Callithrix jacchus: one gene and its partner. The protein of the gene in region 1 interacts with the protein of each later gene in a biochemical or structural test. Links are inferred from orthologs where the notes say so. Each region holds a gene or a part of one and is shown on either strand. Other genes may lie near its edges.

Region 1 (3,805 bases):
GCCTGATTGGCATATGGCCAGATTTCAAGTCATTGTGGGGTCATTTCCAAATTTGAGTCTCTAGAATTGAGAGCATCATCCCGTGAGGACTGGGGCTTAGTGGCACAGTAGCTTTGATTTCCAGCTGAGTGCAAGGGTGTGATAGTACTTGTTTTTTTGTTTAAGATGGAGTCTCACTCTGTCACCCAGCCTTGAGTGCAGTGGCACGATCTTGGCTCACTGCAACCTCTGCCTCCTAAGTCCCAGTGATTCTCCTGCCTCAGCCTTCCGAGTAGCTGAGACTACAGGTGCCTGCCACCACTCCTGGCTAATTTTTTGTATTTTTAGTCGAGACGGGGTTTCACCATGTTAACCAGGATGGTCTCAATCTCCTAACCTCATGATCCACCCGCCTCAGCTTTCCCAAAGTGCTGGGATTATAGGTGTGAGCCACTGCGCCCAGCCTGGTTTTTTTGTTGTTGTTGTTTTTGTTTTGTTTTCAAAGACAGGGTCTTGCTCTGTCACCCAGGCTAGGTGCAGTGGTGCCATCATAGCTCACTGCAGCCTGGAACTCCTAGACTCAAAGGTTCCTCCTGCTAGTTACCTTGAGTAACTAGGACTATAGGCATGCACCACCATCCCCAGCTAACTTTTTAAAAAAATGTTTGAGATGGGATCTCTTTACATTGCCCAGGCTGGTCTCCAACTCCTCGGTTCAAGTGATCCTCCTGCCTTATCCTCTCAAAGCACTGAGATTATAGATATTAGCCACTGTGCCTGGCCTGTGATAGCACTTTTGACTAACCTTTTTTGTCTGGAGCAGAAAAGATGACTTTAAGAATAAATATTATCTTCTGAAAACTGGCCTGATGGCCTCATTGAGTCTTGGTTAGAAGCCTGTGTTGGGGACAGTGGGCCTTTGTCTTCTGGGTTCGGTTCATGTTGAGAGTCTGGTTTGCTTTGTCCAGGTGTCCGCCCAGGAGGTCAGGAAGGAGAATCCCCTCCAGTTCAAGTTCCGGGCCAAGTTCTACCCTGAAGATGTGGCTGAGGAGCTCATCCAGGACATCACCCAGAAACTTTTCTTCCTCCAAGTGAAGGAAGGGATCCTTAGCGACGAGATCTACTGCCCCCCCGAGACTGCCGTGCTCCTGGGGTCCTATGCTGTGCAGGCCAAGTTTGGGGACTACAACAAAGATGTGCACAAGTCTGGGTACCTCAGCTCTGAGCGGCTGATCCCTCAAAGGTGAGCACAGGGTGACCTGGCCTGGGCAGGAGCCGTCATGCCATCCGCTGCAGGGAGAAGTGATTGCATTAGAAGCAGTTTAAAAACAAAAGGACAGGGTCATGTGCTCCTTCATGCTGGGACTCTACTCATTAAGGCACTGACCCGACCTGAAGCATAGCCAGGGAAGGCGAGCTACCATTCCTCATGGAAACTAAAGAGCCGCCATATCCTGTGGGGATGCAGCAGCATAGCAAACTTGTCAACCTGACTGCTTAGCTCCTCCTGGGTGTGATAGGTTGACCCCTATGAAGTCTGCTTTTATTTACTAATGGTCACAAAAATTGCCCCATTTGGAAGAAGAGGCCGCTTAAAATACCTTCTTAGTTTTTCCAGCAGAAATGAGTTCTTATTCAAAATGCTAAGTCTTCCAAGTTAATCATCATAAATAGAAATGCTACACATCAGGAAATAGAAACCAAAGCTCTTTAGGGTTGATTGATTGAATGGAAAGTAAGAATTTGACTGTGGTTGGTAAGTGGGCCTCCTTCCTTGCCTGTCACAGCCCTTAAGGATGACAGTGCTGTTTCCTTTTGCAATCCAGAGTCATGGACCAGCACAAACTTACCAGGGACCAGTGGGAAGACCGGATCCAGGTGTGGCATGCAGAACACCGTGGGATGCTCAAGTGAGTGCTGGGTGTTGCTCTGGGGATCTGGCCATCTCCGTGCTCTCCAGCTTGTCTTTTCCTGTGACTCGATAGTGTTTTAAAGGGCTCTGTGTCAGGCCTGAGCTCCAGCCTTAGTGCCCTGTGAAGATCATGGCGGGAACTGAGCTAAACATGGGGCTTTTCTCAGGGGAGATATTTGTTTTTGTTTTTTTTTAAAGCCAGGTGTCTTGCTCAGGGAAGCAGTTTAGCTCAAGCCTTCAGGTTCTAAAAGCTTATACCTTCCCTTTGGAGGATGTGTTATCTCTAAACTTCATTTTAGTCAGAGGGGCATTGTTCACCTGCAATAAGCATTATTTTTTTCTCTCTCTGTCAAAGAGGTGCTGGTTTGCTCATTGTTTGAAGGTAGTTGTCTTACAAAGTATATATAAATGAAAAAGGATCCCAAGTGAGAAATCCTGATATCGGAGAACCTGGGCATGAGGAGAGGGACTTGGGGCTATTAATGTAAGATGTGGCTGGATCCCCGATTCTGGGTGTTCTCATCCTAGAGCCTCACCTCTGGCCTAGTCTTGCAACTCTGCATTATTTCAGCCTCTGAAGTTTGTGGTTTGCGCCTCAGATTTTGTGCTTCAGGGTTTCCTGCCTGGCCCAAGCATCCTTTATGGGAGGAAAATAACTCACGGCCTATGAGGAGGGTGGTGGGAGCCCCAGAAGACATGTGGACAAGAGAAAGGGAGGATTGTGCAGAGCAAAAAAACTTAAAAACCTGTCAGAGAAGCCAGTGTGAATCAGTTCTTCCTGAACGTGTGGGGTTTGGTAGTCAGGGTCCAGGGCAGCACAGAGTCTACCCCAGGCAGAGCTTCCGGGCCGCAGGGGTCCCCCACTCACTGCTCTGCTGCCCGGGCCCTGCCTGTCTGCACGCAGCACACAGCTTTGAGCCCATCCTACACAGGGTGCCTTAATTTAAAAATACTGGAAAGGTTTGACAGTTCTGGATCTTGAGGGCTACTAATGACTGCCTGTTTCACCCTCCCCAATCAGAGATAATGCTATGTTGGAATACCTGAAGATTGCTCAGGACCTGGAAATGTATGGAATCAACTATTTTGAGATAAAAAACAAGAAAGGAACAGACCTTTGGCTTGGAGTTGATGCCCTTGGACTGAATATTTATGAAAAAGATGATAAGTGAGTTAACGTTTATCTTCAGTAGGTGGGGTGGTGGGCCTGGGAACAATGGCAAAATGGCAATTTTGTGGGTTATTTTTGAAGTATTTAGCAACTTACTATCCCAAAGTAGGAATCTTTAAGGGCTTTTGGACTGCTGTGGCCCTCTCAGAGGGTGGTCCAGAGGCATGGTTTATCCTGTCTCATGGTGGGTGGGGCCAATAGTGGGCTCAGGCCTGGGAGAGGAAGGCAGAATAGAACAGAGGCTGCCTCTCCTCCTCCTGCCTTTGAGGTCCCCCCCCGCCTAGCACCTACATGCAGGTACCAGCACATCCATCGTAACTACTTCCCAGGTTCCGGACTCCTGGCTAGAGGTTTATGCTAATCCAACCAGGTATATTTATGGTGTGATGAGAGACTTGAAGTGTTGTCTACACATACAGGCTGTTGTTTACACTTGAGCTAAATGCCGGGAGTCTGCAGGAGATACCTGAATTGCCTTGCATTAGTTAAATTTGTTGAGAGATTTGTGAGCAAGCTGGGTAGAGCAGCAGAGCCCAGCCTCTCCGCAGGGGACAGACAGTCCTCTTTCAGATACAGTGCATTTGCCACCTTTCTGCTGAGGATAAACGGGAAAATCATCCTAGTTCATGAGGGCAAGTTTCCCCCTAGTGAGTCCCTGACATCAGCATAGGCCCTAGCTTCTAGACTGATCTGATCAGAAGCTATCTGAATTTAAGAGGCCCAAGGAAACTACCTCTGGAAAG
Region 2 (4,518 bases), on another chromosome or scaffold:
AAGGCCAAAAGTTCGAGACCAGCCTGGGCAACATGGTGAAACCTTGTCTCTACTAAAAATACAAAAATTAGCTGGGCAGGGTGATGCACACCCATAGTCCCAGCTACTGAGCAGGCTGAGGCAGGAGAATCTCTTGAACTTGGGAGGTGGAGCTTGCAGTGAGCCAAGATCATGCCAGTGCACCCCTGCCTGGGCAACAGAGTGAGACTCCATCTCCAAAAATAAATAAATAAATAGCCAGGGACAGTGGCTCAAGCCTGTAATCCCAGCTACTGGAGAGATTGAAGTGGGAGGACTGCCTGAGCCCATGAGTTTCAGACCAACTTAGGCAATATAGGAGATCCTGTCTCTAAAAGTGTAAAAAGCATAAATGTAAAAACCTCCATTCACCTACTGGCTGAGAGGGGTACCCCCTTTTTTGGCTTAAGAGACAGGGTCTTGCTTTTTCGTGCAGACTGGAGCACAGTGGTCTAATCATATCTCACTGTAGCCTCAAACTCCTGGGCTCAAGCAATCCTCCCACCTTGGCCTCCGAAGTAGCTGGGACTTCAGGCATGTGCACCATGCCCAGCTAATTTTTTAAAATTTATTTCTGTAGAGACAGGGTGTCCCTGTGTTGCTCAGGCTGGTCTTAAATTCCTGGGCTCAGGCCGGGCGCAGTGGCTCAAACCTGTAATCCCAGCACTTTGCGAGGCCAAGGCGGGTGGATCACGAGGTCAAGAGATCAAGACCATCCTGGTCAACATGGTGAAACCCCGTCTCTACTAAAAATACAAAAAATTAGCTGGGCATGGTGGCGCGTGCCTGTAATCCCAGCTACTCAGGAGGCTGAGGCAGGAGAATTGCCTGAACCCAGGAGGCGGAGGTTGCGGTGAGCCGAGATCGCGCCATTGCACTCCAGCCTCGGTAACAAGAGCGAAACTCTGTCTCAAAAAAAAAAAAAAAAAAAAAAATTCCTGGGCTCAAGCAGTGCTCCCACCTTGGCCTCCCAAAATGTTGGGATTATAGGCATGAGCTACTGCACCTGGCCAGCACATACTGAAAAATGCTTGTTGGGATGCTGGGCAATGTGGCTTATGCCTGTAATCCCAGCACGTTGGGAGGCTGAGTCAGGTGGACCACCTGAGGTCAGGAGTTCAGGACTAGCCTGGCCAATATGGTGAAACCCCATCTCTACTAAAAATACAAAATTAGCCGGGTGTGGGGGAGTGCACCTGTAATCCCAGCTACATGGGAGGCTGAGGTAGGAGAATCACTTGAACCCAGGAGGTGGAGGTTGCAGTGAGCTGAGATCGCCCCACTGCACTCCAACCTGGGCAAAAAGAGCCAAACTCCATCTCAAAAAAAAAAAAAAAGAAAAAACTTGTTGGGGCAGAAGTTGATTGATTTCACAACTGCTGCCTTGGCATGAGATTGAATGTGTCTCTGCGTCTCTGTGTGTCTCTCTCTTTGTTTTTTTTGTTGTTTGTTTGTCTGAGATGGAGTCTTGCTCTGTTGCCCAGGCTGGAGGGCAGTGGCAGGATCTTGGCTCACTGCAACCTTTGCCTTCCGGGTTCAAGTGATTCTCTGCCTCATCCTCCCAAGTAGATTAGATTACAGGCGCCTGTCACCATGCCCGGCTAATTTTTTTGTATTTTTAGTAGAGATGGGGTTTTACCATCTTGGCCATGTTGTTCTTGAACTCATAACCTCGTGATACACCCGTCTCAGCCTCCCAAAGTGCTGGGATTACAGGCATGAGCCACCACACCCAGCCTTCTCTCTGTCTTTGTATCCCACACACAAATATCCAGGTCTGAGCTCTGGGTCAGAGCCCTAGTCCATTCTTTGCACACTAAGGGCCCCTACTCTCCCGAGCCATTGGCCTCCTGCCCGCACCACTGCCAGAGAACCGTCCCACCTCTGGACACATTGACTCACTGTAGACGGTGATGCCAGTGGAGCCTATTATCTGCGAACCATTGCAGTACCCTGAGCAGAGGATCCGGCTGTTGCCAGTCACGTTGCTGACCCGGTGGGCTGCCCAGCCCGTGCCGTTGTCCACCAGCTCCTTTGACAGGGATGTCTCCAAGGTGACCTGCTCAGCACTGGGACAGTCAGTACTGCAGTTCACCAACAGGGAACCTCCAGCAGGAAGCACTGGATTCTGGGGCTCCACCCGCAACAGGAACTCCTGCCCCTGGACACCTTCAGGAACACGAAGAAGTCCTGGTGGTGGTTTCCTTGCCCCACAACCCTAGCACCAGCAGGTCCCACCATTTAACACCACTTTCCTTGAGCTGAGAAAGAAGGGTTCCTGCCCTCATGGTCCATGGGGAAAGGCAGGATCCATCAGGGACCAGGGAGAACTCAGAAGGAGGTCAGAAGAGGCTCTGATCCGGCATAGGAAGAGGTGAGTCAAGGAAGGCTTCCTGGAGGAGGGGGACCATGCCAGCCTGAAACTGAAGGCTAAGTAGGAGTTAGCAAGTGAAAGGAAAGGGTGATCCTGGCAGAGGGAACCACATACGCAAAGGGCAAATGTCTGGAGTTCAGATGGAGCAGGAAGTGTGGGGGGTGTGTGTGTGTGTTGGGGGAGAGGGGTGTCGTACAAGCCGCATGCTGGGGCCTGACCACCTGAAGGCTGAACTAAGGAACCAGAACTTTCCCCTGAAGATACAGGGCCAGCAGCCAGGGCACAGTGTGGCAGGATGCGAAGAGGATTGCTTTCTCTTTCTTCACCCTCTACTGATCCCAAAACCCAGCCCTCCCCAGCCCTCCCCAGCCCTCCCTGGCTTGACTGGCCTCACCTGGGGTCAGCAGACAGCAGACCAGCAGAGTCCAGCAGGCCCGGAGCCACGACACGGCAGGTATCATGGTGGCCATTCTGACAGAGGAAGGTGCCTTCTTGTGCTGAAGGGCAGACGGGGGGGGGGGGGGGGGGCGCTCCCACCGCAAGAGGAAGCACACAGCACAGCGGTTAAGATTGCAGAAGTCTGGGGGCTGCACCTTGCCCAGGCCTTTGGTTAGAAGGGGATGCTTGGCCTGGAAGGCTAGGGTGGGGGACCCAGACAGGGCCCAGCAAAGTGGCCAGCACTGCTGTCTCTCCCAGGGACAGGGCTGGCCTCAGTTGCATTTTTGGCCCCAGTTCAATTCACAGGAAATGCTAAGTAAACTGGCTTCCTATGTTCTCAGCACTGGGGAGCCTGGGGTAGGAGGGGGATGAGACACCTCCTTCCGGTTGAACTTAGGTGGGGAGGGGAAAATGTGGTCCCCAGAGAGGAAATTAGTGGGGAAACCTGCCAGCACCATTGTTTAGGCGATAAGGCGGGATTTTGAGGCAACATCAAAAAACAAAAACAAAAAAAAACACCCAGAAACAGGCTATTGCAGTTTTGGCCCGACTGGTCTTGAACTCCTGGCCTCAAGCGATCCTCCCATTTTTCTTTTTTTTTTTTTGAGACAGAGTTTCCTCTGTTGCCCAGGCTGGAGTGCAGTGGTGCAACCGTGGCTCACTGCAGCCTTCACCTCCTGGTTCAAGTGATTCCCCTGCCTCAGCCTCCTGAGTAGCTGGGATTACAGGCATGCACCACCACACCTAGCTATTTTTTTTTTTTTTTTTTTTTAAGTAAAGACAGGGTTTCACCATGTTGGCCAGACTGGTGTCGAACTCCTGACCTCAAATGATCTGCCCGCCTTGGCCTCCCAAGGTTCTGGGATTACAGGCATGAGCCACTGTGCACGGCTGATCCTCCCATCTTGACCCCAAAAAGTGTTGGGATTACAGGCTTGAGCCACCTCGCCTGGCCACCTTTGAAGATCTTGGGGACACCTCCCTATCTTGAAGATCTTGGGGACCCCCATCCCCTGCACAAAGAGAGGAGGCACATGTTTTGGGGACAGCTGAGTCCCTGAGCCACTGTCGTTCCAGGATTCTCCTTGGTTTTTGTTTTGTTTTGAGACAGGGTCTCACTCTGTCACCCAGGCTGGAGTGCAGTGGTGGGATGTTGGCTCACTACAGCCTCTGCCTCCCAGGTTCAAGCGATTCTCCTGCCTCGGCCTCCCGAGTAGCTGGGACTACAGGTGTGCACCACTATGCACGGCTAATTTTTGCACTTTTTGGTAGAGATGGGATTTCACCATGTTGGCCAGGCTGTTCTTGAACTCCTAACCTCAAGGGATCCACCTGCCTTGGCCTCCAAAGGGATTACATGCCTGAGCCACCTCACCCTGCCTTCCAGAATTCTATTTGTAACTGGACTTTACTCCATCCCATTGCCCCCTTGCTCACCCCTCCAGGCAGCTGGTCACTTCATTCCAAGGGTAGGCACCAATGAGGGGATCTGCCTCCTGGGCCTCACATCTGAGCTCCAGAGAGGGACCTTGTTGAGGGCCTTGATGGGGCCCTGTATTCACCCACATTCCCCAGACCTTGAGGTCACAGCACCTCCTCTGTCATATGGAGCACCCCTGCCTTCCTAACGAGGTCCCTCCTCTATTGCTCTGCCTTCCTGACATTCCATCTCCCACCTGGTGTTGAGA

The links.
Region 2: the proteins of EZR (region 1) and ICAM3 form a complex in vitro, tested with the Homo sapiens proteins (2 studies listed by BioGRID). The link is inferred for Callithrix jacchus from reciprocal best matches to the Homo sapiens genes EZR and ICAM3.

Annotation. Positions count from the first base shown.
Region 1 is NC_133505.1:165,593,216-165,597,020, reverse strand, and holds part of EZR (ezrin), read left to right. Parts: intron 1-947; coding exon 948-1,222; intron 1,223-1,805; coding exon 1,806-1,889; intron 1,890-2,912; coding exon 2,913-3,059; intron 3,060-3,805. UniProt on the Homo sapiens protein: Probably involved in connections of major cytoskeletal structures to the plasma membrane. In epithelial cells, required for the formation of microvilli and membrane ruffles on the apical pole. Along with PLEKHG6, required for normal macropinocytosis.
Region 2 is NC_133523.1:9,529,999-9,534,516, forward strand, and holds the start of ICAM3 (intercellular adhesion molecule 3), read right to left. Parts: upstream 2,873-4,518; 5' UTR 2,863-2,872; coding exon 2,787-2,862; intron 2,188-2,786; coding exon 1,921-2,187; intron 1-1,920. UniProt on the Homo sapiens protein: ICAM proteins are ligands for the leukocyte adhesion protein LFA-1 (integrin alpha-L/beta-2). ICAM3 is also a ligand for integrin alpha-D/beta-2. In association with integrin alpha-L/beta-2, contributes to apoptotic neutrophil phagocytosis by macrophages.